Linked DNA regions of Astyanax mexicanus. The protein of the gene in region 1 interacts with the protein of each later gene in a biochemical or structural test. Links are inferred from orthologs where the notes say so. Each region holds a gene or a part of one and is shown on either strand. Other genes may lie near its edges. The genes, in order: itga2b and rnf181.

What was found.
Region 2: the proteins of itga2b (region 1) and rnf181 form a complex in vitro, tested with the Homo sapiens proteins (2 studies listed by BioGRID). The link is inferred for Astyanax mexicanus from reciprocal best matches to the Homo sapiens genes ITGA2B and RNF181.

Annotation. Positions count from the first base shown.
Region 1 is NC_064426.1:36,361,993-36,378,506, reverse strand, and holds the start of itga2b (integrin alpha-IIb), read left to right. Parts: upstream 1-8,331; 5' UTR 8,332-8,458; coding exon 8,459-8,637; intron 8,638-12,297; coding exon 12,298-12,419; intron 12,420-13,845; coding exon 13,846-13,943; intron 13,944-15,139; coding exon 15,140-15,305; intron 15,306-16,514. Other genes in the region: aquaporin-5, read left to right, coding at 938-1,108. UniProt on the Homo sapiens protein: Integrin alpha-IIb/beta-3 is a receptor for fibronectin, fibrinogen, plasminogen, prothrombin, thrombospondin and vitronectin. It recognizes the sequence R-G-D in a wide array of ligands.
Region 2 is NC_064429.1:6,770,866-6,787,379, reverse strand, and holds rnf181 (E3 ubiquitin-protein ligase RNF181), read right to left. Parts: upstream 10,300-16,514; 5' UTR 10,201-10,299; intron 7,759-10,200; 5' UTR 7,739-7,758; coding exon 7,653-7,738; intron 6,335-7,652; coding exon 6,201-6,334; intron 6,084-6,200; coding exon 5,968-6,083; intron 4,761-5,967; coding exon 4,686-4,760; intron 4,073-4,685; coding exon 4,013-4,072; 3' UTR 3,220-4,012; downstream 1-3,219.

The DNA.
Region 1 (16,514 bases):
TCTGGGTGGGTAGATGATGCACTTTCCCCTCATCACTCCAAAGGGTGATGTCCGCAGCACAAGGCTGCATCTGTGAGCTGATGTATCAGAACCAAGTCGCTGCGTTGTCCTACGTACTTACGGTGCGTGGCACTGGATATATAAATAGCTACTTTATTAAAAGTGAGGTGATGAAACTTAGAGATGTGCGTCCGGACGGGACTAAAACATTAAATTACTGGAGGACCACGTAGTTCAGTGAAAAACAGTAGTTAATTAAGCATGTAATTTTCTTTGAGAACGTCTGAGAAAAACACATGCATGGATGGTCTGGACAGGAATAAAATCACAGAGGGCCCCCCATAAAAGAGAAACTAAACCCAGGAACTCCTGAGAAACTAATCCCATCTGGATAGGGCTTTAGAAAAATTAAATATATTTCAAAAATGTTTTAAATCAGAGATTAAGGGCGTTTTTTTTTTTTTTTTTTTTTTGAAGACACATAAGTCCTCAACCAAGACTGATTCTGGGCTTGTTTGTGGGAGTGGCTTATTATCGCTGGGTTGCTTTCATAGAGAATTCCACTCAATTTACAGAGTTAATGGAGTTCATTCATTCATTTCACCATGAGGGAACACCTGCAAGCAATGACTGTTCTGGTAGGAGATGGTTTTAAACCATACGGGTGATAAACTGCTTTAGTCATATGACAAAATGAACCAATCACAATCAACCAGAGTCCAGTGAAAACAAATCCCACGACCAGAAATAGGTTCTGGGGACCTCTGCTGAGCTCCAAACCAGCTTTCACACTTGATCAAATGTACAAAACTCTTAGAGGAAACTCTCCTGGGTCCAGAAAAAAGTGTTAGTGTGAAAATACCCTCTCTAAAGAGCATTATTCACCACTCTGTCCAGAGTTGTAACGGAGGTGTTTGTGTCTTTGTGTTTTGTGAAGGTGTTCTGGGCAGGTCCGTGTGCAGGAGCGATTCTGGCCTGGCTGATGTACGATCTGCTCCTCTACCCGCGCTGGACTGGACTGAGTGACTGGATTATAGAGTTTAGACAGGTTTTCCTCACATCTCCATCCAAACAGCCAACGAACCCCCAAAGCAACACAGAAATCTAGACAGATTCTAGATGAACCTGGCTAATGATATATATATATAATTATATAAAGGGGTTGGACAATGAAACTGAAACACCATAATAATTTATTGTCCCGATAGAACAGGAAACAGGAGAGTTGAGGTGCACATTAAATTCTGCCGTGATTTGATCAGCCGTGGTTTTATGTTTTTTGGATACAATCCGGGTTAGCACCCGAACATCCCTTTCAGACAGCTTCCTCTTACAGCGTCCACAGTTAATCCTGTTGGATGTGGTTCGCCCTTCTTGGTGGCATACTGACATTACCCTGGATACCGTGGCTCTTGATACTTGATCACAAAGACTTGCTGTCTTGGTCACAGATGCGCCAGCAAGACGTGCACCAACAATTTGTCCTCTTTTGAACTCTGGTATGTCACCCATAATGTTGTGTGCATTGCAATATTTTGAGCAGAACTGTGCTCTTACCCTGCTAATTGAACCAACCTTCACACTCTGCTCTTACTGGTACAATGTGCAATTAATGAAGATTGGCCACCAGGCTGCTCCAATTTAGCCACACTAAAATGACAGGTGTTTCAGTTTAAATGTCTAACCCCTGAATGATGAAATACAGGGGTGTGAAAAGTGTTTGCCCCCTTCATGGTTTCTTATTTTTTTGCATGTTTTTCACTTAAATGTTTCAGATGATTAAGCTCATTTAAATATTAGTCAAAGACAACACTAGTAAATACAAAATGTAGTTTTTAAATTAAGGTTTTTTAATTATTAAGGGGAAAAAAAGTCTTTTACAGCACTGTGGAGGAATTTTGGCCTATTCTTCTCTACAGAATTGTTGGAATTACGCTTTTATGCTTTGATGCTTTGATGCTTTTATGATGTTACAAAGACTGTTTGTTTTTTTACACTTTTTTTACAAGTTAATGATATACTAAAAGATACAGAATGCTGATAACCAATACTACAGTATTTTCATTTTTTGCAATATGATGTTTTGTTATATGAACACTTTAATGAATACACTTTCAAGTTTCCCTTCTGTTTCCATTAATTCCAATGATTGTTCCAATGATCGTACTTTTAAGCATCTATCTTTACTTATGTCTGTCTGGTTAGCCTTCAGATTGTTACTCTTTTAGATATACCTATACATATACAGCCATTAAATATGTTTCATTAATTCATTTTTATTTTATTTTACAGATATTAAGTTATTTGGGCCATGGTTAATGTAAAAGGACGGCTTAAATTTATACAATTCAGTAAAATTGAATTTGATCATTTGTATGATGACTGAGTATAAAAGTTACAATGTTTTGATATGCAGTAAATTGCAAAATGGGTACAATGTTCACAAATAAAATAAAAGGCAGACTGTTTTAAACAGTTGCACATCTGTAAAAGCCTGTTGTTTAATTTGCTTCGTTAAACCAAACCTGCTCTTTACTTAAACATATTTTAGTCCCATTTAATAATAAGTGTCTGTAATAACTGTGTAGTTACACATTAACAATCCATATTATAACAGTGTTACTACTGGTAATGTACACAATGTTACAGATGTATTACAGTTGTAAAGGATATCTAACTGCTCATGCAATGTGCAAAAAAAACTAGTCAAAATATGTATATATTATGTATATATATATTATTATTTATATATATTATATATAATATATACTATAAGTGAAATAAGTAAGCATTTCTTCTCAAAATCTCAAAAAGTGAAGTAAATCAAGCAGAAATTTTCAGTTCAAATGATTAAAATGAAATTAAATTTCTGTTTTTTTAAGCAAAACTACTTAAAAAATATTTATTATTCATTAAATAAACAAAATAATCTTGCACTTACACTGTACAGTAAGACACAAATTTCTAACAAAGAAAAAATAAGATTTATTGCTTTAAAATTTGAATTAAAATTGAATCTTTTTTTTTTTTTTTGCTTTTTTCAGCATTTATTTTGACTAGTGTTTAATAGTGCGTAAAAATCTTAATAAAATGTGTGTGAATTTTCATGTGCAATAGTGCATGGTATAAATCGAGTGTATAAATGTATATGAATCGTGTCACGATTCTCTAAATCCTCGATTCGATTTTATTTTTTACGATTTTAGGGTCACGATTCGATTCGATTCTCGATTTTCCTTTCATCAAATTTACAATATCTTATTTCAAAAGGTGGGCTTGATACAAGTGATGCAAAGTGATACAAGTGATCTATAATACACCACATTAGGCACTAATGGTCAAATTTAAATAATTTAATCAAGATATATATGTAATGCCATCTAGTGGTTTTTTTTTTGGTAGCAGCAGTGTGCGCTATTAAAACAGCAATGTGCAACATAACAAAATAAATAATAAAAAATACAGGAACAGTCATGTACAAAATAATAGAACAATTAGAGCCTTAAGAAACTGAACTCTATCCTACTATAACAGTTAAACATGAAAAATAAGACTTTAAGACTTTTTCGGTCGCTGAGAATGACAAGTTTTTTTCTTTAATAAAGATCTATTATTAACTTTATCTGAGAGAAAGATGCTCCTTAAGGTACCAAAACTATTAACATATTTGAGGCTAGACAAAACAACTGATATTTTAATATTTTCAAGTGTTTCTTTAAGGAGATGAGAATGTACACATTCTCTGGAGAAAGGGCTGCTCTTTGAGCTACAGTGTGCTGCGCCATTTGCGGGATAGATTGTCAATCCTCTTTTGGACAAAATATTTTGCTTTGTTTAACTGACTTTTATGCACATTTGTAATTAGATAAGCTGTAGAAGTATAATTAATATGTAACAATGCAAATTTTACCAGTAGTTACACTGTTATTACATGTATTTGTAACTACACAGTTATCAGAGAAACTTAAGACACTTAGAGTACACTTACAAATAAGATCAATATTGCTCTTTTTTAAAAAAAAAACTTGTTTTAAAATCTCACACTTCTCCACATTGTGATGCTCTTTAGCCATTTGTGTTTGTAGTTCTGCAGTTGTGTTAAATGAATCCAAGGTTAAGCTCTCTCTCTCAGACAGTGTGAGGGAAATCCAGCAGCGCACCTGTTCAGAACTGGAGATCACGGTAAGTTAATGTGATTTACTGATGAAAACATTCGCGGCTCTGGGTCTCAGTTTTACGCCCCTGTGTTTCAGACTGTGTGTTATTGTAGGCTGGCTGTGTCCGGCTCTTGTGACCGGAGGAATTTTGGCTTTCCTCTCAGTCGTTTCACACGTGAACACATTTCACACTATTCCGTATACATTTCTCCAGCCTGACCTCAATCAGTCAGGGATGATTTCAGGTCATTCAGAGTTCAGGTTCAGTAAACACATCACCGCATGGCAGGAAGGAAAATATACATATCGTATAAATGACCATTTTACATCTTTACAGGTCATTTCAGGCTTAGACAGATGTGTACCTGATTAAAAAAAAAGTCTGTCAGACATTTCCAGACTTTTTTATTTTAGGATGTTTTCACACCTGAAAGTCCGGACCGTGGTCCGAACCAAGGTTCATATGTTTATTACATTGTATATATTTGGTCCGCTTATTTTTTTTTCACACTTTGTGTGATACTCCTACATCCTTTCATCATCACTTACGTATCGACAGGGCTGGACTGGGACAAAAAATTGGCCCTGGCATTTTTACTTTAGACCGGCCCCTCATAATTTGCGGAACACAACCCACTTGTAATTTATGTATGTGGGGTTACAGAGAAGCGTAATGTACATCAGCATATTAAATATAAGAAGTTTATTGTCTATTATTAACTCCGCCATTTTTGTCTGCTCTGATTTTTTATCTTTTTTTTATTGAAATCATCTCTAATATGTATTTTTTAAATTTCTCTAATACAACAGTTCAATTCTATTCTTCAGGTTAAAGGTGCTTCCTCCTTTAAACAGCTATAACATGAATTCGTATCAGGCTACAAACAGGGCATTCTGTATAGCCTTACCATTATCAACTTCATAATAAAAAATGAACTTTATTATAATCATGTTTTTTTTGGGGGGATATAATGTTGTAACAGGGCTCGAGCTCTTTTATTAAATGCTTGAAACCAGGGTTCACTCCTACTCTCATCATGAGAGGATCTTTTGATCTAGGTAGAACAAACAAACAATGAGCCTGATTGTGGCGCTTTATTAAAAACAAAGACAACAGCATTAATTTAACTACAAATATTTTTTCATTATTATTGGATGCATTTAAGTGTTCTTTTTAAGAAATATCAGATTTAAATTGATAAAATTAAATTATATTAGTGGTGTTAATCACTTACATCAGAGAGAGAGCGAGAGAGAAAGAGAGTGAGCGAGAAAAAGAGAGAGACAGTCAGAGAGAGCTAGCGAGAGACAGGGAAAAAAAGGGAGAGAGAGAGAGAGCGCGTGATTATGCGAGCGAGGGATAGACCCCTTCTAACTTGTGGGCCGGTCTCTTAGAAAAAAAGGAAGAAAAAAAATCAGCATTGGCCCCTGAGGAATGTCAGCCCACCGGGCATTTGCCCAGTACACCAGATTACCAGTCCAGCCCTACGTATCGATGTGTTTTTCATAACTTGACGCTGATTGGTTTTAGAAGGACGTGCGTCTGACGTTGGCGTGTTGATAATTCAGCAGGTGGTTCATTCGGTGGAAAGACCAGGATAAAGATAAAATGAATGAACAGATTCATTTCATCTCCATAGTAGTGCTGCTGCTATTGTGTTTTTATACCAGCAGCAGCAGCAACTTCAGACACAGTACTGTAGGTTAGTTCAAATTCACCAAACGAACGTGCTCGTCCTGAAGCAGCTGTATCCACGCCCCATTTTTCCTGCTTGTCCGGTTATTTTGAGAGGGTACTGACTGCAGCCTGCAGGAAGGCGGAGTTGGACGTCCAGTGCATCCAGTCCCGCCCACTTTGTTAGCATCATGTCTTAGCTCCGCCTCTGAATGGAAGTAAACAATGTACAGGGCAGTTAGCGGACTTTAAATATAATGCGCCGCGTCGTCCGGCTTAAATACTGTGTATACACTACAAGCTTGTGAGACAAAGTAGGTGGGACTGGACGCGCTGGACGTCCAACTCCGCCTGCAGGCTGCAGTCAGTAGTAGTTGGTAGTTATTTTTCTTCTTCTGCTGCTGTTGTTGAGGAATGCTGCTCAGCTTCCTGTAATTGGTCCGAAAGTTCAAACCATCCAGAAAAGTGCTTTCACACTGCAGGAGAACCGGACCATGGTTCAGAAGATCCGGACCGTGGTTCGCGGCCCCTTTCACACCTGTTCGGACCAAACTGAAAAGTCCAAAAGTCCGGACCAAACGAGGCAGGTGTGAAAGTACCCTTAAACATTTAACACACTTGATTTTAGTACTTGCTGCTGTCAAATCAAAGTCTTTACCCTTATACATCAATATATGCTGATGACAGAACTTGAAAAAAACTTCAAAGCAATGGAAAGTTGTTGTTTTTTTCTTTTTTTGTTTCTTGAACATTAATAAAAAAAATATTCTTTAATGGAACACATGCTTGATTTTTTTTTGTGAGGGTTTAGTGAACAGATGATTACATTAGATTAGATAAAATATAAAAGCTTAATTATATATAACAAATCAAACTAGGCCAAATATACAGAACAATACAGCTTTCCAACTAACATGTAAACACCAAATTTACCTCAAAGCTGTAAAGTAAATGGGATTCAAACTTTTTGATGATTTCCTGTCTCCTGATAAGCAGGAAGTTGTGAGGCTTTGTACATTTCTGTGTTTAAAGGACAGAAACTGTTGGAAAGAACAGACACTGTGGGAGCTGTGTTTTTTTTTTATTTTCTCTGAAGCTGTTGAATTTATTAAACTGTAGAAATAATACAGTTTCTGTACCACCAACTTACAGTATTAGTTTTTTTTAGTAAGCAGTGATGGGAATAACGGCTTTGGGGGTTACGGGGGCGAGTAACACAAAAATAACACAACAGTTACTTTTACTGGTAGCTAGTTACTTTTATAGTGGAGTAACTCACTTAGTAACTCAGTTACTTTTTTGGAGAAGCAACTAGTAACTATAACTAATTACTTTTTCAAAGTAACATGCCCAACACTGCTAATAAGTAAGGTTTCTCTGTTGTGTTATTGTTGTGTTTAGTGTGGGAACTGTATAAACATCTACACTATAAAGGATGATTCAGTATCGTTATACAGTGGGACCCCCTATAATTATATATATATATATATATATATATATATATATATATATATATATATATATATATATATACACTGAAAATGTAATAGATTGAATTTACTACACTGCACTGAATTGATATGGGTGCATTACTTCCATATGAAAATTAAAATACTACATCTTTTAAGTGTATTATGTTTTTGGCAGCCGCTGGATTGATCTAACATTATACATTATTAAAACACATTCGATGCATATATTTGAATCATTTTTAAGATAGCATTTAATATGTAACACTGCATTTCATATTTTTTTTCTCTCTCTTTTGTGTTTATTAATATACAGCTCTGGAAAAAAAAATAAGATTCCACTTAAAAATGATGAGTTACTTTGATTTTACCAAATTGAAAACCTCTGGAATATAATCAAGAGGAAGATGGATGATCACAAGCCATCAAACCAAACTGAACTGCTTTCTGAGTTGAGTTTTTGCACCAGGAGTGCAGGCATGAAGTTATCCAAAAGCAGTGTGTAAGACTGGTGGAGGAGAACATGCAAAGATGCATGAAAACTGTGATTAAAATCCAGGGTTATTCCACCAAATATGGATTTCTGAACTCCTAAAACTTCATAAATATGAACTTGTTTTCTTTGCATTATTTGAGATATTTTGTGTTATTTCAGTCATTTCTCTTTTTCTGCAAATAAATGCTCTAGATGACAATATTTTTATTTGGAATTTAGAAGAAATGTTGTCTGTAGTTTATAAAATAAAACAACAATGTTCATTTTACTCAAACATAAACCTATAAATAGCACAATCAGATAAACTGATTTAGAAACTGAAGTCGTCTCTTAATTTTTTCCAGAGCTGTATATGCACATTTTATATTTTACATACAGCAGCACACTGTCATTGTCTATTAATAAAGCTATCACTCAGCGCTTTAAAAGAAGACTCTGTCTGCTTTTATCTTGAGGAAGCACGTTTTAGACGCGATGACACGCGCAGAAGACAGTCTATTTTCCTGTATGAACCTCACACACTGATCATTCGTCTCATCAGCAGGAAGCTGCTCTCCAACACCAGGCTGCAGATATCGTACAGATTGATGATTGTGACACTATGAACACTCACACACACCCAGTGATGAGCAGAAACAGCTTCTGAGCGCTGCTGGAGAAGATGGAGGGAGTGAAAGACACAGGCCTGCTCATCTTCACTCTGTGTTTAGCTGTGTTTAGTATCGTCCCGCATCAGAGCAGCAGTTTTAACCTGGATCTGGAGAACTACAGTGAACACAGCGGACCAGAGGGAAGCTACTTCGGCTTCTCTGTGGACTTCTTTGAAGCAAACAATAAAAAGTAAGTGGCTTTAGAATCCGTAGCAGGTAGATTAATATTGACTCAGCAGTTAATAATGTATATACTGGTAGGCCAGGAAACTAAGCACCATTTACGGGCATCAGAAGCCAGAGTCTGAGAGAGCACAATTGGCCTTGCTTTCTCTGGGGTGGCTTGATGATGCTCTTACATTACAATACAATGAACATTTCTACATCATATACTTAATTACATATTCACTGTAAAAGAAAAATTAAGTCACTCCAACTTAAAATCATTAAGCAACTAATTTCCTGCCCTTCTTTAAGTTAGTACAACTTTATGGCTCATAACTAAAAAATGTGTTGAATTCTGTTGCTAAAACAGATATGTCAACAGAAAAACACTACTAACTGAACATTTTTAATAAGAAATATTGAAAAAAAAATATTCATTGGCTCTATTTCAAATCAGTCAAGTCATCATTTTGATTTGACTCAGTTGAGTTGTAAATATAGAACATTTTAAGTTTATTCAACTTATTCAACAAGTTTTGTTCACACAACAGTAGTTTAATTAGCTCAACAGTTTTTTTGTCATGCAATGTGGGCTCAAATAAATTATTTTATTTAATATAGATCAGTACTCTCAGCATGTTTAATAGAGCTGCCAATCCTGACAGTATAATACTGCCGCAGCATAAGAGTGAACTCTTCGGCTCAAAGCCAGCAGACCGTGATCACTAGGAACACAGAATAAAGGTAACTTGCTCTTACAGCCTACAACACTGAGACCTGCTGGCAATCAACACATAATAATGCACGCCTAGAATAAGGTAGCTTTGGGCAACAGACAACACAAAGATGGTAAGTAAGGGAGAAGCCACACCCAATATGCAAATATATGGTGCCAGAAGCCTATAGGAAAGCTGTATAAACCAACACTGATGAAAGAGCCTTGGCACATGTAGTATAGTAAAAATTGGTTGAAATCACATTTTTTTTAAATTAAGTTTTCAGGTTGAAGCTCTCTGAACCTGTTTTATTGAGTTGTTCTGGCCGGTAAGTTCACTCAATAATATTTAATCTCCTGACTAAAACACAAAATCACTTTTTAGAGTGCATATATATATATATATATATATATATATATATATATATATATATATATATATATATATATATACACATATATATATATACTATATATATATGTGTATATATATATATATATATATATATATATATATACCTAAAAGCAAAAAGTAAAGTATGATAAACAATACATTTAATAATTTTGATTTCTTACTGAAACACCAGACAGATAGGGGTGACGCTTGCCGAATAAAAGGTAAAGACTGGTTTATTTACAGAGCCGTAAACAGAATAACACAGCCAGATAACAGATCGAACAGAACTCACAGTATTAACAGAAGACGTAGTACAGGAAACAGTCCAAGATCCGAAGCCAGAGAGACAGTCCGATAATACAACAAATCCGATAAGGGCAAAGACAAAAGGCAAAATCCGTAATACAGAAAAAAGAGTCATAACAAAAGGGCAGTCAGAAAAGGGTTTGGAAAAAACGCTCAGTACGCAACATGAGTCGACAATACCTCCCAAAGAACATATGCTAACAGAACCCTATATATACAAAACATGGAATTACTATGAACCGGAACAACTTAGAACACAGGAGAGTCTGAACTTGGGAGCGTAACGCGATTGGGTGAAGGTGAGCGGCTGACGGTGACGTCATCGCCAGTGGGTATATGGGAAATGGAGTTCAGGAGTGTGAAAGGAGAGCCTAGAGACGTGACACTTACAATACTTATACATTTAAAATAGTCCAGGTATAATATTTATTTTGTCTAATGTCCATTGTCCTTTGTCTTTTAAGTTCACATATAATTGTCTTAAAAACAATATCATCCATTATCTGTACTTGATTTATTATAATTTTACATCTAGTAGTCCAAATTTTAATAATTAACAATGCAAACAATTAACCAATTCTTGTACATTTTATTTTTTGTAGTTTTCCCTCAAAATCCCATATAGTACAATTTTAACATTTAAATCAAAAGGGAAAACAATATTTTTCACCTTGTCCCAGACCTTCACAGTTCTAGGGCATTCAATCAATAAATGTTCCACAGTCGCGTCTTCTTGACAGTTCAACAAGGGGCAAAACTCCATTTTACTACACACCTTACAGCAAGCCTTCTTACATATATCAGCCAACTCAACTAAAACAGTTACAGGTAATCTAAAGGAAAATGATAGGAACTCCTAATGCTTCAGCACACCAAGAGCAAGGTCCATAAAGACATAGATAAGAAAGAAGATCTTGTGGAAGAACTTGACAGGCCTGCACTGAGTCCTGACCTAAACCGAAAAAAAAAAACTTTTGTTATGAATTAGAGCGGAGAATTCATCAGTGTCTGAACTCACAAATCCACTTCTAAAAAACCCCATGTTATAGCTGCAAAGGGTGAGCCAACATCATTTTAACCCTATGGATTAGAAATGGCATGTCACTCAAAAATACATGCATGCAATGGCAGATGAGTGTATACTTCTGGAAATATAGGATCTGCAGAAATTGTTTATTGGCTCCACTGCAGACGAGCATGAAGATGGAGCAACATTCAACTTTTTTTGGCATTTAAGATTTTTTTATATCATAAGTGTCTTGTATAAACCTTGTGTCTCCAATTTAAATATGTAAGATTTTATTCCAAGTCATTATAGAGCATTTCTATTGGTTCATTCATCATGACATTTTGATACAATGTAAATAACAAACTGTCAAAATTGCACTGTATCAAAAATATAAAAAAACTGAGATGCACAGCAAAATTGACAGTGTCAAATTAACCCTATAAGAGTTTAATTTAACACTGTCCTAGATAACATATGGTCCCACTCACTATAGTGTTAAAATAACTCTACCACAAGAGTTAATTCAACACCATATGGAATCATATATTAACCCTATGTAACTCTCATCAGTGCTAATATTTTAGAGTTAATTCAGAGTTAAAACAATGTAGGGTTGTAACACAGGGTAAAACAACAATTGTTGATTTTTTTGTATTTTTTGACTTTTCCCCCTAAAAACTATATATCAGAGTATCTATAAAACATTATAAAATGTGAGCTATACCACAGAATAAATTACTATTTTATACTATCTAAGCTTTATTTAGAACAAGATATACTATTAAAAACTGCCAAAAAAGAAGTGTTTCTCCTATAACTCAAAATAACTCTTGGATGGAGACCCTTATCCACCATCCAACCTCACGCCACCAGGTGGGTGAATAAAGCTCCATCAGGAGAACCACCACAACTAAGCTAAACCACACACACACACACACAGCAGAATCAAGAGGCGAAGCCTGTTACAGTTGAATATTTTAACTCTGAATAATAACAACAACACTGTGGATTGTTTATCACTGAGTGTTGTTAGAAAAAACTCCCAGAGAGTTAAAACATGTTTACACTGTGATTTTAACGAGTACAAGGTTTTTGCATGTGTGTATTATTGTCTCGGTACAATATAGTGAACTGGCCTGTAGAGGAAGGTCAATTCAGAGGCATAATTTAAAGTCTTGTGAAGCGTATCTAACGTTGTGAAATTGTGGTTCTCAGAAGGGTCATCGTTGCGTAACACACTGTCATTTCTGCTCTGCAGTGTGAGTGTTGTGGTGGGCGCACCCAGAGATAACGTAGGAGCTTCCCCGGGAGGATCTGTCTTCATCTGTCCGTGGACGTCAACACAAGGTCCCTGTCAAAGACTGGCCTTTGACCAAACAGGTCAGCCTGGGGTTAGCACTGGAAAAGCTGTTACTTTAAATGTGTGTCATTACCTAATTACATGACATCTTGTGAAACTTGAACTTGTTTATGATTAATTATTTCATGAAATGTATTTAAAGTCCTCACTGCTTTAAACAGAGGAAAGATAAATACTTAAATACTGTAAATGCTGGACAGAACTTAATCTAATACTCTAATGCAGTGAGTGAGTAAAGTGTAGGGGTATATATAGTGAGGTAAACAGGTGAAGTCAATACTCAAGTCAAGTCAATACATGTGATTGTGGTCTAAAATTTTTCATTTTATGTCATCAGACGGAGTGAATGAGTGATGTGTGTGTGTAGTGCATTCTGGACAATGGAGTCTGGGAGATCACTGGTATCACAGGTACAGGAGGAAAGGGAGCATCTTCGGCCCCTGGTGTGACAACTGACTAAACCTAAACTAAAACTTTAACCACAGTAAAATCATGAAGAATCAGTTCTTTATTCATTTACGTTTCGTTCATTAATTTCTTTTTCATAAGATACAAAATATTAATGAATTGATGAATGAATAAAAAAAAAAACAAACACAGAGTAGGTCATATTTTTAAACTAAAAACCTATATTGACCTATATGGCAATTTCTATGTGAGATCATTCATTATTTTACATTGACATACACTGAAAGCTCAGAAGGTTAGCAATTTGGATTACTGTTTGGAAGACAGTAATGTTTCTATAGCCCTATCTGGATGGGATTAGTTACTTAGGGGAACATCTGTAAAAAAAATATCACATTTTAACTTAAGTGATAAAACACTTGCATTCAGACTGCAATTGAAAAAACAGGAGTACCAGTGAGTTTTTGGCTTTTTTGGTCACATAACATTGCATTGTCTCGTGATATCAGGACAATGTAGCACATGGAGGACGATGGTGATGTCTAAGTGCTCTAAAAGACGCTGGAGCAGAGAAGAGACACTGACTCTTATTTCACTTTGGGTTGAAGCCAAATTTTAGCAACAAACACAGTGTGGGAGTGTGGGAGTCCGTATGGAAACGCGTTCAGTAGCTCCTCCATTTCCACTCGCTGTTGTGTTTTTACGTGGATCTCCATGGAAACACATGCCCAAAGTGTCATTACGGTGCGTGGCAGTGGACAAATAGCTATTTTAATAAACGCAAGGAGATGAAACTCAGAGATGTGCATCTAAAATAGTAGATAAAGTAGATAATTCAGCCTGTAAATTTCTCAATGGACGTCTGAAAAAAAACACGTACATGGTTGTTCCGGACAGGAATAAAATCACAGAGGACCCCCATAAAAGAGAAAATTACGCCATGCAGGACCCCCTAAAAAAAGAAATCTTAAGATAGGGCTTAAGAAAGGAAAGATACATTAGATTAGATTTATATCCTGGTTCATCTTCTGTCTATAGGTGATGAAAACTTCACATTTGGAGACATGCTCCTCATGAGCCATAAATCTGACCAGTGGCTGGGGGCCACAGTGAGGGCCTACAAGAGTTCCATCTTGGTAAGTAACAACGTGTTTTGTGAAGTATTGATGCGATTGGAAGCCAAATGTGATTTAGTCTGTTAATAAGAGAAACAATACAGGTTTGGGGATTGGATGCAAGAAACTTATTTTTACTTTTTGAGACATATGAAAAAAAGCTAATATGCACCATATGATACACAGGACATATGCACAGGACCAGTCAAAAGTTTGGAGTGCTGTTAACTTGCAGTTTCTGAGGCTTGTAACTCTGATGAATGTATCCTGTGCAATAGAGTGCAATAGATTAGGGTTGTGGGGGAGGTGGAATAAATGTAGAGTTTTTTTTAATTATCTATATATATTTTCTTCTTATTTATTCATATATTTATTGTTATTTCTTTTAAGATCTTTTGTGAGCCTTTTGATATCTTCTGAGATATTTTCTCTTTTTTTGTAGCTTCTTTTAAGATTTCTTTTCTTTCTATTCTCTTTTCTCTTTTACCCACTGTTACTGGTCACCCCTCAGCGATTGTAATAATTTTTTTACCAATATTATAAAGAGCATCTAAAGATTCTGTGGATATAATCGAGACACACAAACTTAAAAAAAATAAAAAAACTGGTAACAACTGTTACTTTTTGTTACTGTTACTTAAAAAAATAAGTTAATAAAACTGTAATAAAAGTGTGCTATATATCTGTATGAACAAACCTATATTTAACACATAATATAGCCTATATTTAAGCAATAATACACAAGAGGGAGTGCTATAAAGTGTAATATTGGAACTGCAATATTACACGTTATAGCATGAACCTGGAGTGCATTATTACGATTATACCACAGTTCCATTATCGCTGTTTATTTAAAGATTTTGAGTTAATGAGGACGAGAAAATACGATTGGTTTGGTTATAAACACTCTGCAAGTTAAAATAGTTCCATGGCTGCTCCGTGTTCAGCTGCGCTGTTTGGTTTGCAAGACATAGAGAACTTTACAGTGCATTACATAACCATACAGTGCATTACTGGCTGATAATGTCACTCATATAACGCGTCTCAGCCAATCATATTACAGGGTCGAAACTAACTGTTGTATAATGAACTGTAGCAGCTTGACAAACCCAGGTCTCAAACCCACAACCTTGTGATCAACACCCTGATGCTCCAACCAATCAGAAACCAGCCCTGTTCTGTATATTATGTTGACTCTGCTGTTTCCCCTTATGCAGGCCTGTGCTCCCCTGTTCCACTGGAACGTGGTTCAGGGCAAAGACGAGGCCATGAACACACCAGTGGGGAACTGCCAGCTACTGGACACACTGACTGGAAATTTAGCCAACTACGCCCCCTGTAGGGGAACTGCAGTGGAGGAAAGCTACACTAGAGCCAGGAACTGTAAGTTCTGACTGCGGTCTGTGGAAAATGATGCTGTATATTTGAAATTATGGCTTCTGTAAATGTATAATAATTACACAATGTGTGGTTGGTACTTCATTATGAATATGATCCCTTTTAACCCTTTGAACTCTAGGCTGTTTTGGTGTGTTTTTTTTCTCAGTTTTTGTCAGTTCCTCTTTCAGGTCTTATAACACAGTAATTACATCAGACAGACACATGCCCTGATCTCTTTTACTCCAGAAGACATACGGTTGCTCAAAAATATAATCATTTAAAATGTAAAAGGAAGCAGAGTTGTTATATTTTCCTGGAACTGATCATGATTTGGTCAAAATTTTACTTATTTTTGAATGTATAGACTTTAAATATATTCACACCTAAGATATCTTTTTAAAAATGTTTAGACTAGAGTGTTTATGAGTTAAAAAAGCATAAGAATATTGATGATTTGAGTTCAATACAAGAATTATTAATTATTACTTTAACAAAATACATGGAGAAACAGCATCAGACAGATTTATTTTTCTTGATAATCAATAATCACACCTCTAGGATACATGTAGATACTAAAAACCTGATACTCAGAGCAGCCTATACCTTTCAGTATTTTAATCAGCACACACAAAGAAAAATATACAATATACAAAAATGTAAACTTGTTAGTCTAAATTAATAAAAATGTTTAGTGCAAAATAACTACTTAGTAAAAATGTGCAAGTAAGATAAAATATATATATATATATATATATATATAAAGTAGTGCGCACAACATACCTAGCTTTAGTTTGAGTAAAGCAGGTAGTTTCACACCTAGTTTTTCTGTGGACACTTTTGAGTCTGATATTTACTGATATTATTTGGTTTGAATCATCATATAAATATGTTTGAAGCACTAAAGGTAAATAATATTGGTTGGGGAAGGAGATCTTATCACTTTTTTTAGGTGTTTTTCTCAATGGGTTTCTTGTAGATTTAGCTTTACCACACTGGGATGTGATCACTATTTTTAGAAAGAGTAAGCTCCGCCCTTTCTAATCATATATGGATTATGTTGATGTGTGAAGGGATTCCTGAGTAATTAAGCTGAGAACACAAGGTGCGATTTTGGATGGAAAATCTGTCTGTAGGGTTCTAAGGGTTAAACATTTGGACAGTTCAGTTACATTTGTTAAATAAATCTGTGAGGAACCGACCCCTTGCTGCCAG
Region 2 (16,514 bases), on another chromosome or scaffold:
ATTTTATTTAAGTAGTGCGAGAAAAGTGTAAAAATGAACTTAAACCTGTCGTTTTTTTTTGGCTCCCTGCCTTATAGCTACACAGCAGTTTACTAAGCACTGCCAGGAAATGAGGGGAGTTAAGTGAGGACCTGCCACCTCTGCTAAGTCCTTGTTAATAGTTAGTCACTTAATTGGTTTTCCAAATATTCGGTGCATCCCTACTGAAGATCATAGAGATAAGGAAAGCGATCCATAGACATCACATGACATGACAACCAAAGTCTGGAGAATGTTCCTTAAGCTTCGCATAAGTGACGTAAAACAAGAGCTAAAGAGCAGGAGGATTCTGTGAAGATGTAATTCTAAAGATTTTACTTTACCGACTGTTTCTTTTTCTTTAATCTGTATAAGTGTACTGTGTCTTAACACAAAGCCTTGCTACTTGACTACTGTAGGCACCTCGGATCTCCACCACATTTTGTAAGTGTTTTTATTTTAACCAAATTCTGAGAGTTTTGAAAGTTAAATCAGGTAAATTGGAAGAGCTGCGAGTTTTATTAAAGTGTTCTGATGTTTTCTCACTGTATATTTGTTACCCTGTTCATGATACTAGCCAAACTCACTCCGTTACCCAGAGCTACGAGCCTGCCAACGTACTGAAAACACACTGTCACATCGTAACATTGTAGTACCATGTTTTACAAGACCTGCTGAGACGTTTCTGTGGGGAAAGTCAGTAGCAGTATTGGGAGTTGAGGATGTTGAGGATGATGTTAACGCCAGGAGGAAGGAAGGGGGCGGGGCTTTAATTTTGTGACGTATTTTCTGCCTGTAAGTTTATCTCCGAACCGGAGTTATTTTTCTGATGCCTTTTAAAAGATAACAGGAATATTTTTTATCAGCACGTTCGCTTCTAACGAGTGCGGGACGGAAGACTCGAGGTTCAGACTCCAAAAACCGAAACAGAAAAAACAAAAAACAATGCAGAGAATATTTTTTCTTTTATAAGTCACTTATGTAAATACGTAAGAGTTATGTATCATTTCAATGATGTTTCTTTTTTTCTTTGATCAGAGATTTATATTCAATTACAGTAAAAAAATTACTGACAAATAAAGCAGATTATATGTTAAAATGTTGTGTTTCTGTCTTTTTTTTTCTCACAGCAGTAGTGCTGTGTTTTGGCAAGAACTTACACTAAGATGCATATCACGATAAATGGTAATTATTTAATATATTGAACTCAAATGAACTTAAACCTGACGTTTGTTGGCTCCCTGCCTTGTTGCTACACCACAGCGCACAGAACAGCATTCACATTTTTTCCTCAATTTACACGGCCAATTACCCAACCCACTCATTAGGACTCCCCCATCACTAGTGATGCCCCAACACACCAGGAGGGTTTAGACTAGCACATGCCTCCTCCGATACATGTGAATTCAGACTCCGCCTCTTTTTGAACTGCTGCTGATGGATCATTGCTGAGTAGCATAACTCGGAGGAAAACGCAGCGACTTGGTTCTGATACATCAGCTCACAGACGCAGCCTTGTGCTGATCTACATCACCCTAGGAGTGTTGAGGGGATAGTGCAGCACCATCTACTGTTCCCACCCAGAGAGAGCAAGACCAATTGTGCTCTCTCAGGGCTCCAGCAGCTGATGAAGTAAGCTGCATGACCAGGATTGGAACCGCGATCTCCTGATTATAGTGGCAGCGCTTTAGACCTCTGGACCACTTAGAGCCCAGAAACTGCAATATGATTTTTAAATAAATGAATCATTTTTTAATAACAATTATCATTAATAAAATCTGAGCAAAACTAATTTTCAAAGCAATCAGAAACAAACAGTGGGATCTTAAGACACTTTCTAGAGTGTGGGGTTTAAAAAAAAAACTAATTTATCCAGTAATGAATCTTTATGTAAACTAATTATAATAAAAACCCATACTGTATTCTTGAGAATCTCAGTACAGTATTGCAAAACTTAATATCGAGATACTTAGATATCTTGATATTTTCTGACAACCCTTTACTCAGCAGATAATGGAGGATTTCACTGTAGATGGCTTTATTAACGAGAACACTGAGGAAGCTTGAATTTAAAGTCTCTCTGATCAGCATATTTTGATGAACTTATCAGCTCAATCTTTCTTCCTGTTACTAAAATACGTTAACACTGCTGCTGGTTTGACAGATATAGGTGCTGACTCTGCAAGTTTAAAACCCTTTATATAGCGAAACATGTGCCTGGAAGATGATCTGGTCGGGTCTGTTGCTTCTGAATCTCTTATTTCTTTGAGTTAGCAGAAAAAAATCAATTTTTTCAGATCCATTGACCAGAATAAAAGCGTTTCTTAAAGGTTAAAGGTTTATAAAAAAAAATATATATATACAGGGGTTTATTACATTTGCCATTTTTCCACTATTCCATTATAATTTCTTGCAAAAAAGCAAGTACAAAACTACAACACTAAACGTTTTAATATCCCAGCAGATAAACTGACAAAGCACAATACATACATTTACAGCAGCAGTGCTTTTCTAATCATAACTTTACCTCAGCCGTGCTGTTCTAGTAACACATCTAGCTAGCTAGCTACCGCAAATACATTCGCAGTGCAGTTTTAGTCACAGATTTACTGCAGCAGTGCTACTCAAGTTACATGTGACTGAAATTTACACAGATGAAAGCAGCCAGAGGTTTGGTAAATAAACAAATGACAGGATAAGGAGAAGTTTGCTCAACTGACGTTACTATCCTAGTCCTGTACAGCTCATACTGTACCTTTCAGCTGGAAAACAGCCAGTGAAAAGAAAAGAGATAGATAAGAAGCTCATTAAAACAATATCAAGAGTGATAAGTGGTGCTGAACACTTTATTTTATTTAAGTAGTGCGAGAAAAGTGTAAAAATGAACTTAAACCTCTGCTAAAAAAAGAGGAGGAAACAACTTTAAATACATTTGTTTGTTGTGTTAAATGAATAAAAATCTAAAGCAGGACTGCTGTTTTATTTCTTCAAATGATGACATTTCAGCTATTTTTGGAGAAATATGGTTTAGGGTTTAGTGGCTCTTTAAGTCAATGGACCCAACTTGACTTGTGTCAACAGCCAGCTCATGCTGGAAGAGGAGGTGGTGTAATGGTACAATGTCATATTTATAAATAAAATTATACATGTTACATTCAGAATAAAACATGAAATGAGAAAAAAAACAGCCTCTGTTTTGAGTCAGTGTAAAAATATTTTATTCCAGGTCATTTTGGAGCATTTCTGTTGGTCAGTTCTTCTTGGAATGGTCACATAAAATGGACAGGACAGTTAATATGACCAAAAAAACAAACACATTTTATTTATATATTGTAATTATATTGATATAATATTGTTTTTGTAAAGGTTAAAAAAAGAACAAACTCACACTCAACATTTCTGAGATTGTCTTTTTCTTTTTTTCATTTCTCACATAACATAATTCTCATAACATATTTTTTATTAATATTTTTTCTATATTAATTCATCCTGTATCAGCTGAAGAGCTACACTCTGAGAGGCAGCGTTGCTGATGTTAATGAAGCAACAAAATGTTTTCCTCAGAGTTAAACTGCAGCTTTATTTTTTTTACACCATGATAAAAATTCAAATTCTATTAAAAAGCAGAAATAAATAGATAAAGACACAAGATAACATTGGAAAATACACAGTTCTTGTGTTCAAAAAAGGCTCATAATGGAAACTCACAGGATGTGATGGGATTTACAGTCGGTACAGACTTCACAAGTCCTTTAGACAACACTAATCTTAGTGCATTTGCATACAAAATGTAAGTTTTTAAAAATAGCTAATTATTTTCAAGTAGAAGAGAAGTCTCACTTTCCAGAGCACGGTCCAAACTCAACCTCTCAAATCAGAAACACGCAAACCAGCCGTCCAGGCAGCTCATCAGTTCAGCCCTGCATTAAAAATGTGCGTTTTTGTGTGTGGTGTGGATTCAGGGGACAGGGGTCGGGGGGTGTTGGTATGAAGGTCAAGTGTACATAGCTCCGTGAAGATCCTCCAAGCGATGTTCTCTCTGCCTTCTTCTCTCCTGTGTGTGTCCACAGACAAAAACTTTATATTATATAGATGTATTAAACACACAGAGTGATCTATTTTAAGCGTTTATTTATTTTATTGTTGTTGATTATGGCTTACAGCCAATGAAAATCCGAAAAGCAGTGTCTCAGAAAATTTAAATATCATTTAACACCAATTGGTACTTTTGGCAGGGTGGGCAGTGTGCCAAATCCTGCTGGAAAATGAAATCTGCATCTTCATAAAAGTTGTCAGTAGCAGAGGGAAGAAGCATGAAGTGCTGTAAGATTTTGTGGGAAAACCAATAGAATAGCTCTGCACTGACTTTGGACTTGATAATAAAAAACAGTGGATCAACACCAGCAGATTAACATGTCTCTCCAAACCATCACTGACCATCAGTAAATTTTACATTTCATTTGTAAATCAAGGGAGCAGAGTCTGGAGGAAGAGTGCAGAGACACACAGTCCAAACTGCTCGAGGTCTAGTGTGAAGTTTCCACCAATCAGTGATGGTTTGGAGAGTCATGTGCAACATCTGCTGGTGTTGATCCACTGTGTTTTATTATCAAGTCTAAAGTCAGTGCCGTTTTTTTCTATGGTTTTAAAGACACATCTCTGTTTACCTTGTCTTTTTTAAACTCTTCATAGTCAGCGTCGTCAGTGGGCAGTTCAAATCGACAGAGTGGACATGAGTTGGTCTGAAACAAAAATAAAGCATCTTTCTCAGCAAAAGCATTGGATTCTGATCCTAGGACAGTTAGTTTTGTAGTTATAGACTGTGTATGTGTTGAAGGGATATTAAAATATACTAAGTGGTATATTCACCACCTAACAATGCATGTGCACAGAAAACTGTGGGTAAATGAGGGCTCGGAGGGCGTTATGATGCCCTTAGAATTTTTTATATTTGTGCATAAATATGACCTAAAATCAAATTATATTAAAGCATAACAAAAAGTCTGCTCTTTACAACAAATTTTGGAACTGTATTATGGCACAGACAAAAGAGGATTTCTGAGGACCTCAGAAAAGTTGTTCACCAGGCTGGAAAACATTTAAAAATCTAAAGTTTAGACCTTTAGTCTCCACCAATCCACAGTCAGATAGATTGTGTACAAATGGAGGAAATTCCAGACCATTGTTACCCTCTCCAAGAAGTGTTCGATCAACAAAGATCACTCCAAGAGGAGGGTGTTTATTAGTCATCAGAGAATTTTAAAGGAAAATGTCAGGACATGCAGTACATGAAGAAGGTGGGTCATGCAGCAGGACAATGACCCTAAGCACACAAGTCAAGCTACCAAAAATGGTTAAAGTAGAATAAAAGTCGTGTTTTAAAATCCTGACCTTAATCTAACGGAAATGTTGTGGAAGAACCTGAAGAGAACAGTTAATGTGAGGAAATCCACCAACATCCCAGAGTTGAAGCTGTTCTGTATGGAGGAATGGGCTACAATTGCTCCTAGCCAGTGTACAGGACTGATCAACAGTATGTAATATTGGATAATTTTCTCAATTAATAAATTACCAAGTATAATACTTTTGTTTGTCTCAATTGCTGGATTAACTGGATTCTCTTTGTCTACTGTTATGTTGTGGGTTTCATTTATGCAGAAATATAGAAAAATGTAAGGGGTTGACAAACTTTGAAGCATTAGAGTTTAAGAGCTATCCTTCACCTATAAAATAAATAGCAGCTCATTGATTTAGTAGTCTGCTCATCAATAAAGTGCTTAAATATTAAAGTTGTACCTTTTTAAAAGAGAAAATTTCAGCTTGGTCTTTGCCAATATCAGTGTATCGGTATTGTGCAATGACTGAATAGGAAATCTGTGATGCACCTTAATAAAACGCAGTATTGTCCCCACCCAGTGTGAGTATACATGTGTAGACACATCCCCTCACCTTGCCTAGCCAGGGCAGGATGCAGCCGGAGTGAAAGAAATGTTTACAGGGCATCTCACGAACCATCTCCTCCTCCTCAAACTCCAGCAAACACACAGGACACTTCAGCCCTTTATCTGGACAAAAGAAAGTGAGTCAGAGGGACATCAAATCAAAGATGCTTCCACCACAGTTCATCTCACCCTCCCAGAAAGCACTATTAAAGTGGAAGCTGGGAAGAACAGGACAGTTACCTGCTTGCTGTGGAGTGATACGATGTAGAGGCAGGCTCTGCACCACCGTTTTGGATGCAGGTGGAGGGAGACGCTGATCCCAGTCAGAAACATCCATCCATCCTGAGTCTATATCCAAGCCCTGCATCAGTGACCTTAAGAAAAAAAACTGAGCTGTTAATTTATGCTGTAAATATAAACACACAACAGTGGATCCTCTGCATAATACAACAGCATTATAGGAGGTCTGGTGTTAAACAGACTGTAAGAGACTATGGCTGCACGATATATATCGTTTAAGAATCGCTATGTGCGCATGCGCTATAGTCACATCACAGGAGGCGGAGGGGGGAGCAGGAGTAAACACAAGGTAACTGCATGGCCTCTATCCACATGGTTGGGTACGTGCTTGTAAACGTGAGCAGGTGTTGAAAGCTGTGTACCTCAGTCCAGCACAGTTTTGCAGCGCAGATATTTCTAGTTACAGCTGAATTCACGCTGTTAAGCTCTTATTTAGCTTTTAAAAAGTCATTTAAATGCCTAATTAAAGGGTAGATTACTGTTGTTTTGCTGTTTTCCTCGGGTTTTGAGTGCTCAGCGCTGACTCAGCTCTTGATCGGTGTGAGCGGAGCTGGTGATGATGGACCCTGCATTGTTTAATATTGCGATATAATATAAAGGTGGCCTTGATATAAGTGATGTAAAGTGATACAAGTGATCTGTAATACACCACATTAGACACTAATGGTCAAATTTAAATAATTTAATTAAGATATATATGTAATGCCATCTAGTGGCTTTTTTTGGTAGCAGCGGTGTGCACTATTAAAACAGCAATGTGCAACATAAAATAAATAATAATAAAATACAGGAACAGTCATGTACAAAATAATAGAACAATTAGAGCCTTAACAAACTGAACTCTATCCTACTATAACAGTTAAACATGAGAAATAAGATTTGGTCCCTAAAAATGTCAAGTTTTTTTCTTTAATAAAGATATATTATTAACTTTATCTGAGAGAAAGATGCTCCTTAAGGTACCAAAACTATTAACATATTTGAGGCTAGACAAAACAACTGTTATTTTTATATTTTTAAGTTTTTCTTTAAGAAGATGAGAATGTCCACATTCTCTGGAGAAAGAGCTGCTCTTTCAGCAGTCACAATGTCTGCGGTGCGTGCTGCGCCATTTGCGTAGCTTAGAGGGAGGGATCGTCGATCATCTTTTTGACTTCGATGCTCGAGACCATGACATCATTTCGATCGATTTCGATAAAATATCGAAATCGTGACACCCCCTAATTAATACATTATCGGTCCACCTAATAAGAAGGCAGGTGAAAGTATAATAGACGTATTGCATGGACCTATTTTATACAAAGGCCAATTAAAAGAAAGAGAAAGAAAGACAAGTGTCTCTAATAAACCACCCATTAAAGTGTATGATAATAGAAAAGCTGTGGCAGATACCTGGCCAGTTCCAGCAGAGCATTCTGTCTGTACTGCTCCTCGGGATTGGTAGGTTCACAGTCATGTTCTTCAAAGTATGAAGTCATCCCAGAGCTGGAAAATTAACCTAACGACAGAAACATCATTAGAACATTACAGCAGTGTCAGGTTTCTGTAATTCAAGTCAGGGAACCAGTCTGTTCATTAACAGAAAGGAATATTTAATGCTGATGATCTTTCTTCAGACTTAATAGGGTGATTCAATGTTATGGTTTTATGTGTATTAATTGTATTAAACTTTACTGGCATTAAATATTTGTGTATGTTGTGAAAATTTGGAAAAGGTTTAGAAAACATTTTAATTTTAGAAATCTCTCCCTATCTTGCCCACGTATCTCAAACCATCTCTTCCTTCCATTAACTCATGATAAAGGGTTCAACAATTGGGATAAAGCAGACATTAAAACACTACAGGATTTATATGTCGAGGGCACTTTTGTATCTTTTCAGTATTTAGTAGAAAAATGTAGTAGTGTTGGCCAATGCTGGTAATATTCTTATAAAAAAAAGAAATAAAGAAATAAAAAAGATCAGCATCATGATATTTTTTTAATATCTCAGTTAGGGATGTGCGATATCATCTCGTTTGCAATAATAAAATTAAATTATCATTTTGTTGCAATAGTTTATTATTTAAACATATTTTTTAACTTAGTGTTTTAATATATTGGAATATACCGTGAAATATCGTGATATTATTTTAGGGCCATATCGCCCACTCCTAATATATATATATATTTATATAAGTTATAATAACTGATAACTTTTAACCTAAAAGCGAGTGTAGAAGAGCTCAGCCCTACTTTTCAAGTATTCAAACATTTAAATAAAAGCTGATTCAGTGTCACAATTTCAACACAAACCAATGCCTATTAGGCAATTAAATAAAGCTTGTTTAATAAAGGTTGTTTCTCTATTAACATTAAAAGATGTAATGCAACCAAAAAATGTATTACTATTCAATTATACATTAATATTAAATGTATGATTGTATGTATTATTTACATACATTATTATTATTATTATTATTATTATTATTATTATTAGGTGAGAGTGGGGGCAGTTAAGAGACCAGTTTGTAATAGGAAGACAAACTTTTAAGACAGTAAAACTACAACTGTCACTTATCCATCCATTCTTGTATATTAAGCGCTATACATATTGATCGCCTAAGAGTTAGTGTTACTATTTACCCCTATTTAAACCACAGGAACACAATACAAGCTATACATGTAAAATATGTTAAAGGTTAAGTCAACGTTTGCCATCTGTTTAGCCAGCTGGATTACACTAGTACCACCAGTTCACTTCTGCCACAGCTAACTAGGTTTGTTATTTAGCTACTTAGTGCTGGTAAAAGTTTCAGAAACATTTTTACTTAAAAAAAAAAAAAAATACTATTGACTACTATTTAAACGTCCCTTTCTACACTACAAGATACAGTAACGTACACAGTACACTACAGTATACGCTAGAATATAAACAAGATATACATGTCCAATATAAGTAATATTTAATACAAACAATACATATGAAACCATAACGTTGAATCAATCTTAAAACAACCTTAGCTAGGTTAGTTTGGCTAAAGTTTTAGAAGCGTATACAAGTGTTATTACCATTTACTAACATTATTACTATTTAAACGTCCCTTTCTACACTACAGGAACACATGACATGCTATAAGAATAGAATACTAACAAAATGTACATGTTTAATATAGTTATAGTTATATTTAATACAAAAGTAACACCATAACGTTGAATCAATGTCGAAACAACATAAGATAGTCAGTTAAGCTAGTTAGGTTGGCTTTTTAGGTTGGCATTTTACATATGTTCATTATATTTTACACAAATTAACCTTTACTAATTATTATTATTATTATTGTTGTTGTTGTTGTTGTTGTTGTTATTGTTGTTGTTATTATGTTTTTATTATTACGTCCCTTTCTACACTACAGGAACATAGTACATGCTATAAGCATAGAAAACAAACTAGATATACATGTTTAATATAAGTAATATTTAATACAAATAGTACATATAAAACTATAACGTTGAATCAATGTAGAAACAGCCTTAGTTAGTTTAGTTAACTTTAACTATTAGCTAACTTAAGTTAGTTAGGTTGGCTAAAGTGTTAGAAGCATAAGCACGTTGTATTACCATTTACACATGTTTATAATATTTTATAGAAGCTAATTTAACACATTATAAACGTTACTGCTTCAGAAACGTTACATTAACATTAGCTTGCTAAGCTAAGCTAGCTAAAAACAGGCTAAGGTAAACATTAGCTAGTTAGCTTAGCTAGTGAACTAACGTTATTCAGCACTTTGCCGGCTGTGTTAATAATTTCACCAGGCTAGCTAACAGATATCTAATCAGCTGATAGTGCTGTAAATCAAGAGAATAAAAGAATAAAAGCTCTGAATGTATCGTATCGTGTTTAATTTCTAATTCACACCCTAACAATGATATAAACCGACACAGTAATATAACCCTACCCGCCGCTGCCTCCGCCGCTGTCAGAGCTGAAAGCTGAGCTAACCCTGCACTGTCATCATCACGGAACTGAACCAGGAGGGCGCGTCGCAAACGCAGCTTCCTATATACTATCTACCTAGGCTGTAAATTTAGTGCACTATGTAGGGAGGAAGCAACCAATTGAGAGTGACCCGGACAAACTGTCAGCATTGCACTCAGCATTGAGTGTAACAGCAGAGGGAGCAGCTGAGCTACTGTTAACCTAATAAAATGATCTTTTAAAGCTTCTTGTTTTATTAAACTGTATTATTTTATAGTTTCTATTTTATATAAAGTCCCAGTCAAAAGTTTGGACACACCTCTTCTCATTCATCAACTCTGTGTTTCTTTTTTTAATGATTTTTTACATTGTATATTTAATATTGAAGACTATATTAAAGTTATACAGGAGCACATGCTGAATTATTCTGTAAACTTATAAAACTGGTAAACAAATCAGAATATATTTTATACTTTAGATTCTTCTAAATATCACATGTATCTTTAAGGACTCTTGTGCAATTTTGATAGTTTTCTCAGCGTCTTGAAGGAGTTCCTGGAGTTGCTGAACAATAGTTGCTGCTTTTCTTTTCTTCACGCTGTGAAGCTCCAGCTCATCCTAAATAACTTCAAGTTACCATTTCAGTTCATCAGGTTTAGATCAGGAGATTGGGTCATGTGTCGAAGGAGGCATGTGCTGGTTTTTCCCCTTCTGGGGTTGGGGCATCACTAGTGATAGGGGGAGTCCTAATGAATGGGTTGGGTAATTGGCCTTGTCAATTTACTATGTAATTTAATGTAGAAAACAAATTGAGTAAATAAATGTTTTTGTGAACTTTGGTACACAGACACATTACAATATGCAGATCAGTCTATCAATAATACCAACCCCTGCTGACGTCCAACCATCTGCGTCTCACCGCTATCAGAGGCACACTGCTGCTGCTGCAGCTCAGCCAATCAGCTCTCCCTCCTGCCCCGCCCCTAAACCCATACATCACCCAGTGCCCCTCTTAAACTACCCATCCTATTTTGAGCTAATGGTGGAGTCAGCAAAAATCAGGGGGGTTAGTTAGGGTTACCATTTAAAGCAGGGGTCTCAAAGTAGCGGCCCGCGGGCCACATGCGGCCCGCGACGCGGTTTCATACGGCCCCTCACGGGTTAACAAAATAAACATACATCTGGCCCGCAATTCAATTTAATTATTTATGCTTTATTATGTTCGTTTTCATATTTTATCTTAACTTGTATTTTGGTGTGTGTGTGTGGTTTTTGTTTTTTTTTTTGCTTACGCTGCGTTGCCTGCTTTAGTAGTCTTCAGTAGCCTTCAACAGTCTAACCTTGCTGCCGTGGTGTGTCCATTAAACTCCGTAGTTATAAACATCCTGAGGTTAGCAGCGCGCTAACTGAACTGTTTATAATGTAATCCGAGCAGTGACTCCGTGACGCTGCTCTAAACTGCTGCTGTTAGCTGCTTGGGCTGAAAGATGAACTGTAGAGAGCTGTATTATCCGGTTAGTGGGGTTATTTTATTTCATACACAGAAGAACTTAAAAAATTTAAAAACGCTCCAGACTGGCTCAGCTGAGTCCTGTAGCCCGTGGCTGGGCTGCAGCTCTGACTAAGCAAAGACTGCGGGCTTGTGGTGCTGCAGCTGCAGCTCCGACTAGTGGTTGGATGAGGAACTGCTAAATCTGAGGAAATGCTAAATCTGTCACAGCTCACAATTTTTGATTTTATATTTATTAAGCCTTATTTCAGTATCAAACGTTTTGATCAAAGTTAATATAACTTATAAATTAAAAGGATTTATGTTAATAGAGCAACAAGCAATCATTTTTCCATGCAACTGTATATTTGATTGAATAAATAGTATATTGAGAGTTATTTAACATTAAGGAGTAATTACATTCATTTTGTATTACATCTGGTTACATTTTCTTATATTTATAAGTTACATCTGGCCCTCATAGGACAGCCAATATGCCAATGTGGCCCTCGGCAAAAATGAGTTTGAGACCCCTGATTTAAAGAGATAAAGTGTAGCTTTAGTCCACCCTGTCACTGTAAAAAATCACAGCAATTTTAAAAATAATTTTTTAAAAAATCGAATTTTTTATTTGAAACAGAACAAGAACAAGATCACCAACGTGTGATACAAACCAACACATCTGTTTCCATCAAATGGCAATGTTCACAAAAATTGTCCACCCTCTCATGCAGCTTGCCATAACAAGACAGATGCATGTATATCAGGAAATAAAGTGAAAATAAGTAATTATTAATTAAAGCCAGAAAAAAATGTTTTTTGTGTAGTGTATAAATATGATAAATTCTCCATACAATCATTTGGCACTGCAAAAGCTGTTCTAACAGCATCTTAAACCAAGGGCGTAGGAGCGGACTTGATATTGGGGGGGACACATTTGCCAATATGAACCCAAGCCCACTCTAAAAGTAAATTATTATTATAAGGTGATTTAACAACCTAAACATGTTACTCCACGTTACATTTACTGTTGTTAGAAAAAATTATGCATGCAATGTCTGAATAATATACATACGACAAAAATAATCAGTTATCACCTAATATTTAAAATAATATAACAGATTTGTTTATTATTATTATTATTATTATTATTATTATTATTATTATGTCATGTCAATTCTGTCGTATATTTACATTTTCTCCTGCGCTTTTTTTTTTTTTTACTGAGAGCTCTTCTTAAGATGGTGTCCTTTTTTGTAAAAGAATGTAACTTTAAGTTTCATAGAGATTTTTATAAACGTCAGGACATGTGGTCTTACTGTGAACTACAAATGAATAGAAGTCACGTTACAGCAGTGTTTCTCAACCCTGTTCTTACATATTCTACTGCATATTAACACTGTTCTGCATATTTTAGAGCTTCCTCTGCTTTAAAGGCATTTAATAAAGTTAGTGGTGGTATGATGTGTCTAATACACTGCTGGATATACATAATGATTTATTTAGGCTCCATAGGGGGCTAAATTTGCACACTGTCTTGTTATTTATTATTCTTTGTCTGTATTGTGTTGTATTGTCTGTCTGCACTTTTGTACTGTTGCACTATTGTTCTGTCTACACTGTGTTTATGTGCACCATGGTCCCTGGAGGAACGTTGTTTCGTTTCACTGTGTACTCTGTATATAGCTGAAATGACAATAAAAACCACTTTGACTTTGACTTTGACTTTAAAGGATTTTAACAGGTAAACTCAGTAAATTACTGTTTATTAGCTGATCAGCTGGATCAGGTGGAAAATTTTTGGGGCAGTGATCAGGGTTAAGAAACTGCTTTAAACTACAAACACAAAGTACTGTACTAAATTCTGGCTATCCACTACATCTGGCTTCTAGATAACTAGTTAAATGAATATTCGTTCATTATAGCTCACAGTAAGTCCTAAATTAATTGAAAATGAAACAGTGATTAGCTGATCAGGTACAGGGCAAGTTGAACATTACATATATAGTTTTTTTTTTTCTTTAACCTTGACTCCCAATCTAGCTCATTCCAAAGTTAAGCTAACTCACTCACACAGCTGCAGTTTATTAATCACAGTGGGTTTAAACTGTGTGCTGATTCAGAGACGTGTATTTTTAACCAGCTAGCAGAAACATATCATCACAGTTGACGTGGTTAACCTATCGTTACCTTTCTTTTAGAAAAATCTCCGTATATCCATATCTGTTTTAAAATCAGCTGAAGCTGCTGCGTCCCGACCCCGCTGCTAAATCTCACAGCGAGGGGGAGGGGCTTCCAAACAGCAAACTGCCTCTCCTTCGCGCGGCGCAAAACCAGCAAGCTGATTGGCTGTTTCTACTGAGAGGCGGGACTTAATACCTGAACCGGCTTCGTGATTGGTCCGGTCTGACTTCTCATTAATAGTACACCTGATCTGAGCGAAAAGATGTCATTTTTGGGGGGGACAAATCCACCTGTTTCTAATATTGGGTGGGACATGTCCCACCCATCCCCCCCGGTTCCTACGCCTATGTCTTAAACTGATGGGCAGCTGCTGATAAATGCTGTGATTCTGTGCTGAAGCCCAGAGCACTATAACAGTTCTTTAAGAGAACTGAAAGCATTTAATGATCCATTGCTGAAAACAACCCAAAACATTTCCCCCACATTCTTCTGGCAGTAGCCTACATCTGAGTAATTCCCTGATGAAGATGATAGAAGCTAATAAAAGTGTGTGTGTTATTATGTGTGTTTAATCTGCACAATAGGAGAGCCTTAAAACTGTCTGGAAGTGCTGGAAGTGAACTTTCCTCTCTCAGTCTGTGAATCACAAAGTTAAAAACATTACAAACTCAATACATCAGCCCAAACCCTGCCCAAGAGAGTGTAACGGGTCATCGGGTTTAAGAACTTCCCATTGAGAGAATTATAAGCTAGAATAAGTATTTTATAGGCCTAATCAAAACATAATAATGACATTATCTACATCCATTATTTTATTTTGTAGTTGTATAATAATTAGAAGTAGTTCTGCATCTGTTTGTCTGTATACTTAAGCAATAATACACGAGAGGGAGTGCTATAACGTGTAATATTGGCACTGTTGTCGTGGGCGTGCAGTCGTAGGCATGAGGCCTCAGGCAAAGTACTGTAGATCAGCACAGCAGTGCCAATATTACACGTTATAGCACAAACCTTCAGTGTATTATTGAAAGACCTCGCTGTTTATTAAAAGATTTTGAGTTAAAGAGGACGAGAAAATGCGATCTGTTTGGTTATTAACACTCTGTGAAAATTTTAAAATAGTTCCATTGCTGCTCTGTTTGTAGCTGCAATGTTTGGTTTGTAAGCGCTGCATCGTTGCTAGGTTACCTGTATGCGGCAAAGTAATACAAGGAGAACTTCGGTTACAGTGCATTGCTGGCTGATAATAGCACTCATAGAATGCCTCTCAGCCAATCACACTGCAGGGTCGGAACTAACTGTGCTATACTTTATTATTCTTCGTTCACTGTGTTATTTAATACTCAAAATCCCACAGGAGAGAAACCCACCACAGATCAGCTATTATTATTATTATTATTATTTGGGTGGTGTATGGTTATTCTCAGCACTGCAGTGATTAACATGGTGGTGGTGTATGAGGTGTTAGTGTGTGTTGAGCTGGTGGTAGAGTGAGTGCATCAGATACAGCAGTGCTGCTGGAGTTTTTAAACACTGTGTTTAATCATCACTCACTGTCCTCCACTCTATTACACACTCCAACCTACAGCTCGGTAATACTGCATCAAAAAGAGTTCAAAAAGAGGCGGAGTCTGACTTCACATGTGTCAGAGGAGGCATGTGCTAGTCTTCAACCTCCTGGTTTGTTGGGGCATCACTAGTGATAGGGGGAGTCCTAATAAATGGGTTGGGTAATTGGCCTTGTCAATTGGGGAAATACATAAAAAAATATTATTAACACCATTACATATGGCCTCCAGATAAATATACATTAATAAATTCACGGTGAAGGCAAGAAACAGTCCACAAACAATATATTTTATTCAGATTCACCCATATTTTACAATCATTAACATTCCATATAAAGCTCACAGCCCATGGTGGTGGTAGCTTCACTGCTGGGTTTGGACGGTAAATAAAATGCATATAATTATGTTGTAGTTGTGGAGAACAGGGTTGTATTCACCATATCATTAAACTTCTCTACAATAAACCAAAATTTCACACAGAACCCTCCACTCTGATCCACTGTGTACATCTCAACCACAGAATTATCAAAAAAAAAAAAAAAAAAAACAGAAAAATCTGAGAAATTTACTAAATGTGTAAAAGTGTAGATATTTACTTTCATTAGATATTTACCCAGGGTTCCCTAGAACCGTAAAATGTGCTTTGCAAAATGTTGTGCTTTGACTCATCAAATAAATTGTGAATCCACTTATTAACTTACTCTAAAGTAACATTTACTTTTTTTTGCTAACAGTGTTAACTTTTCTATCTCACATCAGCTAGACGTTGACTATTCTGACTACTGCTCTAGCTGATGTTAGCTGGATGTTAACTACTGTAAAAAAAATGTGACCTGGATTACGACTCATTTAGCTGATTTCAGCTAGATGTTCTGGTGAATGTTATCTAGATAGTAACGACTCTGGCTAACGTTAACTAGATGTTTGATAAACTTTTTTTTAGCTGATTTTTAACTAAATGGTAAACTTCTGTTATTAAGATGTTACCTTTGCTATCTGGATTTTAACTACTCCAGGATTAACAACTGTGGCTAACGTTAGCTAAACGTTAGA